2 linked regions of the Arabidopsis thaliana genome follow. Changing the gene in region 2 together with the main gene of any one other region gives a genetic interaction. Each region holds a gene or a part of one and is shown on either strand. Other genes may lie near its edges.

Evidence for each region. A genetic interaction does not mean that the proteins touch.
Region 1: changes in AXR1 (region 2) and ABCB1 impair growth when combined (synthetic growth defect), as found in Arabidopsis thaliana (one study listed by BioGRID).

The regions. Positions count from the first base shown.
Region 1 is NC_003071.7:15,499,236-15,508,033, reverse strand, and holds ABCB1 (ATP binding cassette subfamily B1), read right to left. Parts: upstream 6,309-8,798; 5' UTR 5,873-6,308; coding exon 5,609-5,872; intron 5,540-5,608; coding exon 5,485-5,539; intron 5,400-5,484; coding exon 5,224-5,399; intron 5,151-5,223; coding exon 4,950-5,150; intron 4,823-4,949; coding exon 4,563-4,822; intron 4,464-4,562; coding exon 4,147-4,463; intron 4,060-4,146; coding exon 3,836-4,059; intron 3,508-3,835; coding exon 3,134-3,507; intron 3,051-3,133; coding exon 2,333-3,050; intron 2,256-2,332; coding exon 984-2,255; 3' UTR 533-983; downstream 1-532. UniProt on the Arabidopsis thaliana protein: Brassinosteroid exporter that, in conjunction with ABCB19, supports the accumulation of exogenous brassinosteroids (BR) in the apoplast, thus promoting BR signaling initiation involving the specific receptor BRI1 and required for plant growth and stress responses.
Region 2 is NC_003070.9:1,496,885-1,503,892, forward strand, and holds AXR1 (NAD(P)-binding Rossmann-fold superfamily protein), read right to left. Parts: upstream 5,070-7,008; 5' UTR 4,892-5,069; coding exon 4,806-4,891; intron 4,714-4,805; coding exon 4,541-4,713; intron 4,447-4,540; coding exon 4,283-4,446; intron 4,031-4,282; coding exon 3,920-4,030; intron 3,796-3,919; coding exon 3,716-3,795; intron 3,602-3,715; coding exon 3,448-3,601; intron 3,366-3,447; coding exon 3,272-3,365; intron 3,096-3,271; coding exon 3,007-3,095; intron 2,896-3,006; coding exon 2,822-2,895; intron 2,735-2,821; coding exon 2,572-2,734; intron 2,431-2,571; coding exon 2,345-2,430; intron 2,036-2,344; coding exon 1,952-2,035; intron 1,863-1,951; coding exon 1,682-1,862; coding exon of another isoform or gene 1,640-1,681; exon of another isoform or gene 1,557-1,639; coding exon 1,473-1,556; 3' UTR 1,230-1,472; downstream 1-1,229. Other genes in the region: emb2394 (Ribosomal protein L6 family), read right to left, coding at 5,631-5,967, 6,078-6,377, 6,820-6,854. UniProt on the Arabidopsis thaliana protein: Regulatory subunit of the dimeric ECR1-AXR1 E1 enzyme.

The DNA.
Region 1 (8,798 bases), on a different chromosome or scaffold from region 2:
ATGTGCCGAGAGGAGCTAGTGCTTCTTCTTCTCCACCACTATAATTTCCAAGTTTGTTCATAATTAAACACAAATTTATTTGCATTCAACAGCTAAAACAAAGTAGTCATCATCATCATGGTGTGTGTCCCATATGCATATATGTGTGTGTGGTCGCACGCGTGTGTTGCACAAAGAAACGAAGTCAAGAATTGTTTTGTTCATAAAAAGTTATATAAACACAAAAGAAATGTTGTCTTTTCTTTCTTTTTTTCATTATTGTTTTAGCTTTGGGTCTCATCATCTCATTCAATGTCCTTTTTGGACCCATCTTCTTTTTCTCATCTTCTGTTTTCTCATCTTCATAATTTTGTTCCCCACGTATGTTCGTGTGTCTATACATCTAAAGCATTCTTTTTGACAATATTGTCATAGTTAATTATTTATATGCTTACATTACTAATCATGATCTAGTATAAAAGCATGATGTACACACAATAGATTTTAAAATAGACCCACAACATTCGAGACCCATCACCCATCTAACCAATACAATTAAAAACCTTAAAAGATTACATTTTCATCATATACCATAATATTTCTTTTAGAACGGATCTCATGATTGAAAAGTTAGGCTTATCCTGAAATCTAGAACAAGACCAAACCAATATATATGGTAACAAGTGCCTCGATGATTATGAGATACATACCTCTCATCATCACCTTCTTCACTTCACTAGAAAGGCAGAGGCTCATAGATTGATATGGCATATAAATGGATATTACAGAGGTGAAAAATTAGATTAATTATGATAATACACAATAATAATACTATACCATCAAATCTGAAACGTAGTTCCAAAAATAAGTAACCCCAAAATCAAAACAGAAAGAAAAAAAGAGAAAATGATGAGTTCGTAGAGTTTTTTATCAGAAACATCTTCTGGTGTTTGTTGTTTTTTACTCTCCTTCTTTTTTCTTCTATATGACCAAAGTAGTAAGTACTAAGCATCATCTTCCTTAACCCTAGAACTTGAACCTGACGTCATACCAATCACTTGTGTATGCGTAAATCTTTGCAACTGTATCATTCGCGCGTAGATTCCATCAGGATGGTTCTTGAGAAGATGCGAATGCGATCCTTGTTCAGCCACTTTTCCATCATCGATGACAGCGATCACGTGTGCGTTCCTGATTGTAGATAGCCTATGAGCCACGACTATTGATGTTCTACCAGAGCAAGCCTGGTCTAATGCTTCTTGGACTGATCTCTCGGACTCTGCATCAAGAGCGCTTGTAGCCTCGTCAAGCAGCATGATCTCTGCTTTCCTCACGAGGGCACGTGCGATCGCGATCCTCTGTTTCTGTCCTCCCGAGAGCTGAACGCCTCTCTCGCCAACATACGTTTTGTAACCTTCTGGTAGCGCGGATATGAATTTGTGCGCACTGGCTAGAGTCGCGGCTTGTATGATCTCTGCTTCGGTCGCACATTCATGTCCATATGCAATGTTTTCGTAAATGGTAGTTCCGAACAAGCACGGCTCTTGAGGGACTATGGCTATGTGTTTCCTTATGGCTTTCAGGTTGTATTTCCTTATGTCTTTCCCGTCGATCATGACTCGGCCTGAGGAAGGTTCGTAGAATCTCTGGATGAGGGAGATAACTGAGCTTTTTCCGCACCCGCTTGGACCCACAAGAGCTAGGGTTTTGCCAGCTCTAGCACGAAGGCTAAGGTCACGGAAAATCTGGATGTCTGGCCTTGAAGGGTAAGAGAAATCGATATGTTTGAGCTCGACTTCACCACGTAACCGGTCTGGGACCGGGGTGGTATCAGGATCATCAGGTTCAATCTCGGTTTTCCGGTCAAGAAGTTCGAAAACAGACCGCATAGCTTGACCACCTTTGATGAAATCAGGAGCCAGTGTGAGTGTCTCTGCTGCACCATTGGCTGAGACCATCAGAACCATGAAGACTCTTATGGTTTTGGAGAAGTCAGAGATGCCGTGTTTCACAAGCCATGATGCGTACCATAGCCCGAGAGCATAAGATGCATAAAGACAGAACTGAGCTACACCATAACCACTTCCAGCGATCTGTCCTTTCCAGAAGCATCGTTTCAATGGTGGTTCGAGGTTTGCAGTGTAGAGACGGACAATCTTTGCCTCCGAGTTAAATGCAGCAACTGTCCTGACATTAGCTATGGCTTCACCAGCAAGCTGCGTTCCCTTGGCATGTGCCGCTTCCAGGTCTCCCGAGAAACCAGTCATGAACATTTTCTGTTCAAAAGACAAGACAAAGTTTCAGATCCAAGAACAACAATGAGAGCATGCACATGCTTTAAAAGAACACAAACCTGTAAGACAGTTGCAGCAACAACTACGGGGAAGACTGCGACAAGGACAAGTGCGAGTCTCCATTGTAGAACAAACCCGGCAGTGCAAGCAACAAGCATCAGTGCTGTGTTCTGCACAATAACCGATATTCTATCTCCTATCGCAGATCTCACATTATTAGCATCAAGAGCTAATCTTGCTGCGATTCTTGCACTTTCGTTCTCCTCTTGATCAAACCAAGCCATCTCATTCTTGAGTACAGCGCTCAGCATCTTCTCACGGACTCTCTTGGTCAGATTCTCACCCACAATGTCCCAGAAAGAATGCTGGAGCGTGTTGAAGACAAGTGCTGCGGAAGAGAGACCGATTAAGAGATAACAGTACTTATCAATCTGTTTGATCATGTATTCGTGGTCCGGGTTGTAGTAGACGCTTAAGACTGCACTGAGGACATATGCGAAGAATGCACTAAGGGAGCCACAAATGACAGAGCCTACTGAACCGAGCAAAGCGTATTTCCACTCTGGAGAGTTCATTTTAGCTAGTCGCCAGAATGAATTGGCTTGATCCTTGAAGGCCAGCTTCTCGTTTCTATAGTTTGGGTAGGACGAAGCGTCAATGGAGAGGCTAAAATCAGAAGTTGAGAAATCGGATAGTCTCCGTGAATAAGGTGATCTTCCATACGACGAATTCCGAGTCATTATTGGCGAGCTAACCGAGTTTCTAGCACTCGACGGTCTGCAACAAATAGATTAACATCAGTAACCCAAAAAAAAGCATCATCAAAACAAAAAACAAACACAAAATGAATAAGAGTATACCTTGCGCTACTCTTTCTTGCATTGCTCATGGCGGTTTCGTGAGCTGCTTCTTGCATTTTAATTAGCTTAGCATAGACTCCATTTTCTCCCTTGGAAAAAAGCTCATCATGCGTTCCAATCTCAGAGACACTTCCTTGCTGTAGCACAGCAACAAGGTCAGCTTTTCGAATGGTAGAAAGGCGATGAGCAATGATGAGAGTAGTCCTTCCAATCATGAAACGATCCAAAGCCTCTTGTACAAGCTTCTCTGATTCAGAATCCAATGCACTCGTCGCCTCATCTAATAGAAGTATCGCCGGGTTCTTCAACATCGCTCTTGCTATCGCTATTCTTTGCTTCTGCCCACCAGACAGCTGCAATCCTCTCTCCCCAACCTGACATTATTCACATTTACCACATGAGTATAAACAAACATATGTCTATCTGGATTAAAAATCCATTGGAATAGTGGTTGCTGGTTTTCAAGTTAAAGTAGCAAGAAAAAAAACAAGCACATGAACACTAAAAAAAATTCAACATCAAGACACATGACTAAAACTACTTGTCTGGGTCTCACATGCGTTGTTGACCAAACCCATGTTACTCTGTTATAAATGCTTTTCCATGACCATACCTCTTCTCTCTTTTGACTCTTTCAAAATACCTTAAACTAATGAATAATTGAAGAAACAAAAGAACACAGATTCACATAAACCATCAGACCTGTGTGTCGAAGCCATCAGGTAGTTTGATGATAAAGGAATGAGCATTTGCGACTCGAGCAGCCTCCTCTATCTCGACTTGATCTGCGTCAGGACGGCCTAAGAGTATATTCTCCTTGATAGAAGTGGCGAATAATGCAGGTTCTTGACTCACTAGCCCTATCTGTTGCCTTAACCATCTCAGTTTCAGCGTCTTCAGGTCTTGCCCATCTAGTAAAACTTGTCCTGCAGAGACGATAACACCGTGTTAATTAAAATAACAATGCTCGAACAAAACAGCTTGAAATGTAACAGAATGTTAAGATTGTTAACCTGAGTTCGGGTCGTAAAACCGCTCTATAAGCGAAACGACTGTGCTTTTTCCTGAACCACTGCTCCCAACCAAAGCAATGGTCTTCCCAGCAGGAACAGAGAGGCAGAAGTTGTTAAGAATCTTAACATCTGGCCTTGACGGATACGAAAAGTCCACATTTTTAAGCTCGACAAGACCCGTGACTGAGTCTAACTCCACACCGGACTCGCTGTTACGCTCTATCGTTGGTTTGTGATCAATGATTCTAAAGATCTTTGCAGCAGCAACCTTTGCTTTGGCAAATGCAGCCATGCTCGGTGCTGATTGTCCCAATGCCCTTTAAACAAAAATAAAAAAACTCATCACCATCAACAAACCAATATCAAACCAAATGATAACAAGAGTGATGAACAGAGAAGAGCAAAGAGTTGCTTACAATCCACCAATCATAACGGCGAACATTGTGGCAATAGCGAGACCACCGTTGGTCAAATGGTGGCGAACTAGATAACCACCGTACCAAAGCAAGAGAGCGTAACAACAAAAGACAACGAAGTATGTAGCACCAAGTCCCATTCCTTTAGCTAAACCTGTTTTGTAACCAAGCTTCTGAGCAATCTTCAAAGCTGATGAATAAGCTTGTGAAGCTCTTGATTCTCCAACGAAAGCCATCACTACCCTGATTTGTACCACTGTCTGCCATTTTTTTCAGAAATTGAATCAGACCCAAAAAAAAACCAGATGATAGAATGATCTGATGATTACTGGATTTGACAAAAATAGAAACTTTATTTATTTATTTCTAGGGATTTGTGCACTCTACCTGTTCGACGATATTACCAGCTTGTGAAAGAGACTCTTGACTCTTATTAGATAGTTTAGAGAGAGTAGTGGTGTGAATTCCTCCGATCACAGCAATCAACGGAACCACCGCGAGAGTCACTAAAGCTAGTTGCCACACCGCAGTGAAACCCACGATGAATCCAGAAACAAAAGTCGCCATGTAATGGATGAAATTACCAAGCTGAGATTCCCAAAAAAAAACAGATCAGATAAGGAAGAAGAAACAAAAAGACTAAGAATTTGAAGATTCTTACTTTCTCACTAATGGCGTCTTGAACCATAACAGCGTCGGTGTTAATGGCGAAGACAACATCTGAAGTTCGAACTTCTGTATCAAAGAACTGAATGTCTTGATTCAAAGCTGCTTCTAAATACTTAATCCTCATCTTCGTTGTTTGTCTCTCTCCACTCCACATCCAACACGAAATCTCTGCAACAACGAAACCATATTTAAAACCGAATCAGATCAAGAGAACAGTATAAAAGTTTAGATCTTTAAGTAACTTTCTTCTAACCTGCCCAAGAGGAAGCCCAGATTGCAGCACCAACCACTAAAAAGTAAAGCGCATACTGCAATAACCAAAAACAAGTTAGTGTTTTCAAAGATTGAAGATGAAGAGAAAGAAATAAAGTTAGTACCTTGAGAACTTCTTCCATCATCTTTTCAACGTTATTAGAATTAGAACCAAAGGAATTAACAAGATCGGCGAAGAATCGAAGAAACAGAGGTAAAGAGCAGCCATGGACAAAAGCACCAACAGAGCCAATTCCCATCAATACATAATCTAATCCGTCGGCGAATCTGAATAGCTCTTTAAAAGCAACTCCACGAATCTCTGCTTTCTTAGGCTCTTCCACCACTAGTGTCGGCGGAGGAGGAGGAGCACCACCGTCATTATCCATTTCCGGTGAGTTTCTCTGGAGCTTCGTGAGTTGTTGTTGGTGTTATGAGGGAGAAGCTCAAGGCCTTGCATTTCGGACCAACGCCATTGTTCAAGTGACTTAATTTCTTCTTCTTCGTCTACTTTTTTCTGATCAGATTGTTGGGACATTTGTGTAGATGTTTTCTTACTTTGCTTTATAGAGAACCTCAAAAACCACAACAGCCCTGAAGAAAATTAATAAATAAATAATATACTATTTTTTAAAAATCTTATTTTGTTTTCTTATTAAAATAAAATAAAACTCAAGACTATAAAAATCGAATAGCTTCTTCTTCACAACACTTATTTTTATAATCTTCCATCTTCAGTTTTCTTCCGCTCTATATGCTTTCTTTAATACTTTACTAATCCCACTCTTCATTTGTTTTGATTTATTTCCTTATTTATTAACGTTTTTTACCGTTTTTTAATTATTAATTATGTATAATTTGCGATTAATCAGTCAACTTGTGTACTGGCCAGTCAATTTGTGTATTTATTCTCTTTATTACCAACTTAAAAAATTTAATAGAATTACCAAAATTTGGATTTTCGTGTAGTGATTTTCAGCCCACGCTTGATGTTTTTATTTCCTTTTTACACATTTGTTTCCATGTTCTTGGAATCGTTTGCTTTTTAGTGGGTTTTTATTTTGTCACACAAAAAAAGGAATTAATACTTTAGTAAATTGTTATTTTTTTTTCTTCGGTTTCTTGTTGCGTAGAAAACAAAGAAAGTGACAGATGATGGAAGAGAGAGAGATTGATGGAATCCGACATAGAACACTGTTAGAAATTGGAGATAAGTTTTTTTTGACTCCCAACAGTTTCTGCTCTTCATTGGTCTCAATAATCTCTCTATATATCTTTTTTATAAAATCAGGGAAAAACAATAATAATTACCGTGAGGTGCAATGATAAACGATAATCACATTAAAAAAAAAATATTTAGCATCAAAAACAAAAAAGAATATATATATAATCACTTCTTCTATTTTTTTAGACCAAATTTGGTAGGTACAATTATTATCGATTATGATTGTTCGTTAGATCTTGGAAATGTGTACAGTAGTTATAAATCATGACACCAACTACAGAAAATTACTGGATTAAAAGTTAAAACCATTTTGTTAAGTGGTTTTATTAAAATGTATTGGCAAATTATAGATGTGATTATTGTTGTGTAGGATCTAATTAAATAAAATTACATTCAAAATGTCAAACAGTCAACGTTTACAAAACTGTGGATGGATTCATACACAAGTTATAGGTACCTGCAACTTCTGTTCGGTTGTTTTTAAACTATTGTCTGAAAGTCTTAAGTGTGAAATATTGTTACAACTACAAGAGAAATGCACCCCAAAAAAAAAAACAAATCAACGATTAAATGTTACACCTACAATTGCAACTAATCATATAAGAATTTCTATATAAGTTTATTTTTCATATAGATAAACAAATCTCTTTTGCTATTTTTAATCAGTGTTTTTTTCTTTGAGAGTAATAAGCAAACTTTGGTAGTTGAGTTTTGTTGTACATTGAATTATTATATGATAAAGTACAATTGTATTTTTACTATCTCAACTTTTTTAGTAGTAGTTTGTTTTGCCTTTTCTTTTTGGGATATCACATTCCAATGAGCCCAAGTGAAGAAGGGTTGCTCTGCGAGTGTGTAAGAATATATATATGTTCACACAATAGTTCCCTTTCCTTTAATTATGGTCTCAACTTTAATTATTAGATATTTTCTAATTGTATTAATCACAATTATAAAACATCATTAACAAAATAGAAAAATTGGGGTTCACATTAACCTGGTGAAGAAAAACGAATCTAACCGGTTTAGTTTAATTTAAATGGAAAAACGAAAGTCGTGATAGTGAATTATTTATGTGATTATTTAATTAAAAAGAAATAAAATCAGAGTCAGAGTAAGACACTGTGGTACGGAAATTAAATAGTAGTATAATATAATGAAAGCCATCTTTTGTGGGAAAGAACTGCTTTAATCACGCCTCTAGAGATCCAAATTTAAATTGTCTCCTCATTTTCTTATGCAGAAGAAATCTTTTAATTAGTAAATGTCAAGAGTACAATGACGAGTGCAACTTCTCTATGATTTTTTTTGAGATAATTAGCAAAATAAAGGGCATATAGTAGCTGATTGATTATAACGGCTTAACAATATTGTCATATAATCTTTTTAATTATGTGTAATACGTATGCAAAAAAAGAACTCCACTCTCATCATAATAGTGAAAAAAAAAACTTTTAACTATGGTTTCACCTGAAAAAGCCTAAAAACAATGGATTATGTCGTTGATCAAAACCCTTGAAATAACCATGTAACACTAACAATGAAGGTGGATTTTCATAGTCATCTTTCCTGTTTTCTATCACTCTGACATTTTTTTTTTTGGACTAAAAACGTTTATTTTGGAAATGTAATATATATTTTTTTTACTCATGCGTAGAAGAAAATTTATTTCTGAATTATTTTCACCTAAACTAATTTCAAGAATCGAATCTGTTTGTTAACCGAAAGTCACGTCGGTGATTTTGCCCGTTTGTTGAAAACAAAACCTACCCTACTTTTTATTATCCTAATTAATCATTTTGTCCAACTAAACGAAATGGATTTGGTTAAAAATCCTTTGTTTTAAAAAGTTACTACAGTCATTGGCCCACTTGGTTTTTCCTAAACAGTGAATGGAGACAATATTCGCAGACTGCAGAGAAGCTACTACGATCCTGACATTAGGGTTAACTTAGCTACTACACCTTCCATGACCTTGTCCCGTTGAATAGAGCACAACGAAAAACCTGACTTTGTAAATAGAAGTTATATTTGGTGTCTTGTAATAATGGTGTCGTAATTTCAAGGAAATCAGTCTATTTATCCACGAG
Region 2 (7,008 bases):
GAGGAGAGGATGGTAGAAGTTAGGTGCTTTGCTTGAAAGAGGAGACTGTCACTTTACCTAATTCAATGTCTAAGTTTGGTCAGTCGATCTCTTCTTCAAGCAAAACCCCTTTAAAGCTGACATCCCAATTTCCATCCATCCATCTGTTTCTTGTTGCTAACTCCTTTCTCAGACCTTTTCTTTTTTAATAATTGTCTTTTTCCTATCAAATTTACACATACTATGTAGATAAATACCAGAAGGAAAAACAAAAGTAACAAATCGGGTCAAACTTATCAAAATTGGATGCCGAATGAATTTTAACATTGGAACTAGAATCTTCCCAAGAAAAAAGTGTTTAGTCAAATCTCATGATTGAAACATGATTAAGGAAACTTCTACGTTCATCTTACTTAAAGTTTTTTTTTTTTTTTTGTGTGTGTGTGTCACGTATTCAAGTTGTATTTAAGTAAAACTTAAAACTAGCAAATCTTAACTTTTAAATTAAGTTCATACCGCTAGTGTGTGTCATTAGCATAATGCGTTACCAAAGTTCTATCTCAGACTATGTTTTAAGGGTGATGATTGATTTAGATATGATATTAAAAGATTCGTTTCGCATCATTAGTGCTTTTCTTTTGTCAAATGCTGTTCACAAAATTCAAACGTAATGTAGATGGAAACGACATACGCTATGTCGGCTGCGTTCGACATTAGCAGTTCACAAGACTATATTACCTCTCATGTGTTTATACATTATATATATTTATATACTACAGTACATATTTAAACAAATGCATAAGAAAAAGGGTATAATTGATACTTTTATATCGAAAACGAAATGTCATGGTAGTAACAAGTGAAACCCACCGAGCTTCAATGGCCTCTATTATTCATGCATTTGCCATAATAACCCTACACCACCCAATTCAAATTGTCTTTATTGCCCCAAATCCCTAAATTGGATTTGTGGTTCTTGATGTTATTAATTCTTTGATGCCCATTAACTTTTTAGACAATTTTAATATTATATTTTGATTGATCTTATTCTTGGACCCCATTTTATTGAGAGTAACTTTTGAGCTTTGATGTTAACGTAATGCAAATTCTTGTCGTTTGTATGATTTGCAGAAATCATCTCATTAAACCTTTTGCCGACTAGAATCATGTGGAGAATGGGCTTACTGTGTCCCTTTTTATGAGACTCATGGAGAATGAGCTAACTGTGGCCCATTTTATGTGACTCCCGTGTAGAATGGGCTTACAGTGGCCCATTTTATGAGATTAGCTTCATTTAACCTTCAAATATTTCTAACCTCAAGGACAAAGCAAAGCAAGATTTTCGAAGATTCTGAGTCGGATGGTCTCAGCTGAACTGTCATTGAAAATTTTGTTTCTCAGTAGTAGCAAAAAGATTATCTTTTAATCAGAAGAATAATATATGATAGAGCTCTTTCTCTCTGTTTCAAGCCAATGTGTTAAGGAAAGATCTTCTACAATTTCAATAACTGAGACTTGTGATCAATGCCATTGAAGATGTAAGTCCCCAACATCGGAACAAACTGCTTTGTGACAAGCTGCAAACAAAGATAGAAAGAGACAACTACATATTCAATTACCTCGTTAAGCATGTCCAGAAGCTAGCGACTTCCCCATAAGACTAACTGAATTTGAAACAATGAGAAAGAAATATGAATCGAACCTTGATGACTTCTTGAGATGCGATTCCTCCAACAAAGGCAGAAACCACATGAATCTCTGAGGCACCAAAGCGACACATCTCATGGATAAGGTCATCTGGGAGTACTGAGCCGTTACAGCCCAAGTCGGTAAGAAGACTCAAGGCAGTAGTTTTTAATCGAGAAATGTCCTCATCCATTCCTCTACCAAAATGTATTGCATGTTAATAGCCAAACAAGGACCCATTGTTCAAAAATAAAGATTAAGCTTAGTGCCATAATGAATTTCTTACCCATCAAACTGCCCAGGAAACTTGTTATAGTTGGCAGCAAATCTGTCCGCAGCTCTAAGAAGAATATAAAATCCCATTGCACCACTGCGACAGTAACAATATTTAAGTATAAGAGCTAAACATGCAAGCCTAGAAAAATTTTGAACTAAATCCAGAATCTATTTTTTCTGCTGTGTAAGCCTAAGATGAACTAAAAAGTTTGGTTAGCTCAGGTCAACTAAATGAATAGCTTATACAGTAAATTATGCAGTTTTGAAAAAATGCTCCTGCAATATTCAATCACAACATCTTATGGCATGTATGAGACAGACAAAAGAGTGAACATTTTGTAGAAAGGTCATCTTTCAAATCATCTGATGTTTTTGTACTCATATGAAAAGGGAAAATTCGCACCTGTAATCCTCGTCCGCTAAATACTTTTGAATTTCAGTTACAGAAGGATTTCTGAACTCGTCCTCTACCATACGATATCTGCACAACTACAAAGGACGGATTATGGTTTATGCTTTACTCAAATCATATGTTTCTGATAATGCTCCGAAGAAAAAGTAAACAAGCAATAGGTAAAACGTTGACATTAGAAAACAAATTAAACATGTTAGGAAGTTTAGTATACTCACTTTAAGTTTCCTTGCATTCTTGCAGAAGCTCTTGATTGTTGGTTTTGGGATGCTGCTCGGATCTCGACCGATTTTCTTTAAAATGTTTTTAACTCGTTCCTCAATGACAAGAAAATCAGCCTCGGCTTTGGCTAAATAGATTTTCTGCAAATTGATATAGTGTCTGCAAAGAGAAACCATACAGCTACATAACCAATGTGAAAAATAGACTGAGGGTGAATTTCAGTGCCATAGAGGCAAGTGCACTAACTCTGTTGAAGAGGTCATATCTGGTATAGAACCTTCAAGGGGTGCCTCTCCACCACCTTCATTTAAAACAAACTCCTGCAGGTGGTTATGTACGATTATGATTTCAATCAAAATGAGTTGCAGTTTGCACTTCCTAAATGAACATAAAATTATGAGTTCTGGCAGAGCAGGTTTCAAGTTTCAAACCTTCAGAGCCGCTACCATCACCCAAAAAGCTGAGGAGTTTGAATTCACTTCAGCACAACTATCATTAATTAATTTTTGAACCTCTGAGCCTGGAAGAGAAAACAGGTTTGGTTCAACATGAAGAATACTGTGATTTGACCCGTGACAGAGCTTTCTGTTAGTTTAGCTCCAATATCAACAATCGCTACACCTATTAACTCAACCATGGAAACAGTAAACATTCTAAGTCAAGTTTCTACCTAGACCAAACAAGATATCTACTTACTGATTCCTCGAGGAGCAAAAACTTTGAAAGCGGCTTCAATGGCTTCTTTGTAGTTATCTTCATCCGTAGATACCATCTTGGACTTAACCAAATCCTAAGAATTCAAGGATATAGATAATTAAAACAAGAAAGCAAGCTCGCTAATAAATTTTATAAGTTACAAAAAAGAACTAAACCTTAAACTCTTTTTTCTCTTCCCTGGTTGAGGGAAGATTACCACTATGGGATTGAGCCCACTCCTCAGCCATCTTTACAAGAATGACGACGTAAGGTATGTGCTTATGTGCAGCGGCCGGCTCTGATACATTCAGATCAATGGTCTCCACAAAACTGCCGTTCATTAAATAATTAAGAATATCAGTAAGTACTCAGTCGTCCATCCACAACCATAATGTTAAAGGATGCCAGAACAACATAAAGTGAGAGGATATGAGAGCAGTGGACCTCTTGAGTTCAGGCCATGGATTATTCAGGCGGAGGTCGTCAAGAAAATGATCAGGTTTTGAGTCAATTATGGGGTGCTCCTGATAAAAAAGAAAAGAAGAGAGCTTAGCATATATTCTCATTGGCCAATATCCTAACCACGGCATACCACAAAGTAATCTAAACTTTATCACAAATTGGGTCTAGACAGGTGGTATTAATTACCTTTACAGAGATGCGAACAAACCCAGCAAGGCCATAAGAGCGAACCAAAACCAACTTAACGTTTGCATCTCGACAGATTCTATCAAGTTTCAACATTGAATCTTCCACCAGCTGCAACCAATCAATGTCGAAAAGGGGATGAAATAACGAACTTAAATAACAATAACACAGGAAAAAGAAGCCTAATAAAGCAATATCCCGTGAAGAGGACGAGGAAAAGTACATATGAGAAACTAACTAAAGAACATTGAATAGAAGGTATCATGATCCATGGTGAGTGACTGTGTAAGCAAAGATTAGAACTTTGAAAAATTGTAACACACAAATCATTAGAGAAGATTACAAATAGAAAAACAATGGTACCTGAGTGGCTATAACGAGAGTGAACTGAGAGAAGAAAGATGGGTTAGTAGTAATCAACGTGTCTGGATTCTCCTCAATAAACTTGGCGTTAACAGAATCATTAAGCTCTTGGAGAAACGCACAAACAGATTTGGCTTTTGATTGGCCAACACTCTTCGCATCGACTTCACATGAAAAAAAAAAATCATCATAACGCAAGCAAGTCCCCCAAAACCCCCAGAAGAAACACAATCAAAAAGTTTCAAAATTAGTCAGTACCCATGAAATTGTTCCCAAGGTCACCAAATTGAACCTTAGATCCATCAACAACGGTGATGCTACCAACACCACCAAGTACGAGATTCTTCAAAGCCTCGGAACCAGTAGGGCCACAATTGAGTAAACAGATACTCGCTTCTTCCAAGGCCGCTTGACCTACCTCCCCCCAAATCCTAATCAGTCAACCCAACGATTACTACTTCATCAATTTTCCTCCCGACAAGAGTAGTTCGAAGTAGAGTTTAAGGAAAAAGAGTATGTATACCTGAGCTGACGATCGTACTTGGTTTTAGGTTCTACCATTGTTGGCTCTTCTTCAACATGTCTCCTGGATCTTTTTACTGCTTGCATCTTCGCAGCTCAAGCGAGAGACGATTTTTGCCTCCGGTGAACTGATAAACAAAAAGACTTTTCTTCAATCAGGGTTTTTGTTTATTTCCGAATATTTTATTGTTTTTAGGAAATTTATCGTTTGAAAAAAGTTATCTACCAAATTAAAAAATCGATATTAATATCTTACTGATTTTTTATATATATAAGCAAATAAGAAAATTTTGTAAATATTTTTTTTAAAAAAAAATTGTGAAAAAGAAGAAGATATAAGCAAATAAGAATAATCACCATGATATTGTTTTTTGTTTTATTTCCGACTATTATTATTCTTATAGGAAATTTTCGTTTTTTAAAAAGTTATCTACCAAATTAAGAATACAGATATTAATATCTTACTGTTACGATTTTTTAGATATAAGAAAATAAGAAAATTTGTAATTAAAAAAAAGAAGAATAGATTAAAAAATTGTTTTAAAAAGTTTATCTACCATGATTTTTGTCCGATTTGGATTGGTTTGGTTCAATAAGGAAACATAACAATAGAATCACACCGATGAGGCACTTTGTGCCCAAGTTCTTGTTCAATCAAAGCACTAAAGAAATTTTTGTCAGAGCATCAAAAACAATTAATGGGTTCCTTTAAAAACTTACTCAAGAATCCCAACACAAACATCTTCATTTCTAAACAAATTTGAGCAAATACACATAAACATTGAAAGGAAGAGATAAGTAAGTAGATAATAATGAAAAATGAAGATCATTTCTTCTTTCCAGCTTTTCCTTCCTTCCTCCGAACTATCTCATCGGAATACTTGACTCCTTTCCCCTTGTATGGCTCTGGTGGCCTCCACTTCCTAACCGTTGCAGCAAACTGCCCGATTTCGCTCTTGTCGTATCCACTCACAGTGATTCTTGTGTTCTCTTCCACTTTCACTTTCAGACTATCCGGTATCTGCATCTTCACCGGGTGTGAAAACCCGAGATTTAGCACCAGCTCCTTTCCGTCTACTGTTGCACGATAACCAACACCCACAAGTATAAGCTTTTTCTCAAATCCCTTTGATACTCCCACAACCATGTTATCGGTAAGCGTCCTAAAAGTCACACAGAAGTTAAAAAAAAAGATTAGAGAACAAACGATCTTTTAACCTCAAAAAAGTTAAGGACTTCATTGGATGACAAGAAAAGATGAGAAGTTTGTAACCTGAAAAGGCCGTGCATTTGGTTGGCTCTTCTAGTTTCGACGGTTTTTTTGACCCTTAAGAAACCGGATTCTTCCTTTGTAAGCTCAACTTCGCGTGGGTAAGTTAAAGCCAGCTCTCCTAATGGACCCTTCACTTTCAAGTCTTGACCTTCCAATGCAATGGTTACATTGGAAGGTACAGCGATCGGTTGCTTTCCTATCCTTGATTCTTTGCACTCAATGGTCTTACTGGAGTAACCCACTTGAGCAAAAGGTGTGCTTGAGACCTTGAACACATTTCTATCTCCCAAAAATGCTGACCTAAAACAAAGGGGAAGTTATCTATCTATCTTCAGATAAAACATGTCAAGAAAGTAAAACTCTACCAGATATATATCTAAACCAATACACAGAAACTGTTATTGGAACAAAGATAACGTTAGATTAAGGAAGAGAAACATTCTTGTAGAACTTTCAGTTTCCATGGCTAAAAACCCCTCTAGAATCCTGCTTTTTACACAGTGAGTTCCGCATAACACATTCAAATTCCCAAAATAAAAATCCACAATTTCAAGAGTCCATAACCAATTCAACATTGCCATCGATTTAAAAAGATAAAAATAACCCATTCAAAGAGATTCCTTATACTTGGGAGGCTCATGAACACAGTTTATAGAGATTTTTGAGTAGAAAATGCCAAGTAAAGAAAACGAAACCCTAGCGGAATGAAGAAGCTCTATGGTTTGTAGTATATGAAAAGTACCTGGGTTGAAAAGATGAGACGAGTGAGGAAGCCATTGATAAGATTTGATGATGGAGCTCTAAGCTCTGCTCCAGAAGGAGGATGAAGAGAAGAAGAAGAGCGTTTTATCCAGAAAAGACTTATCCATCGTCAGCTTCTGTAATCCCCTCTTTCAAATCATTACTTTCACGGCCCATTAGCTCACTATTT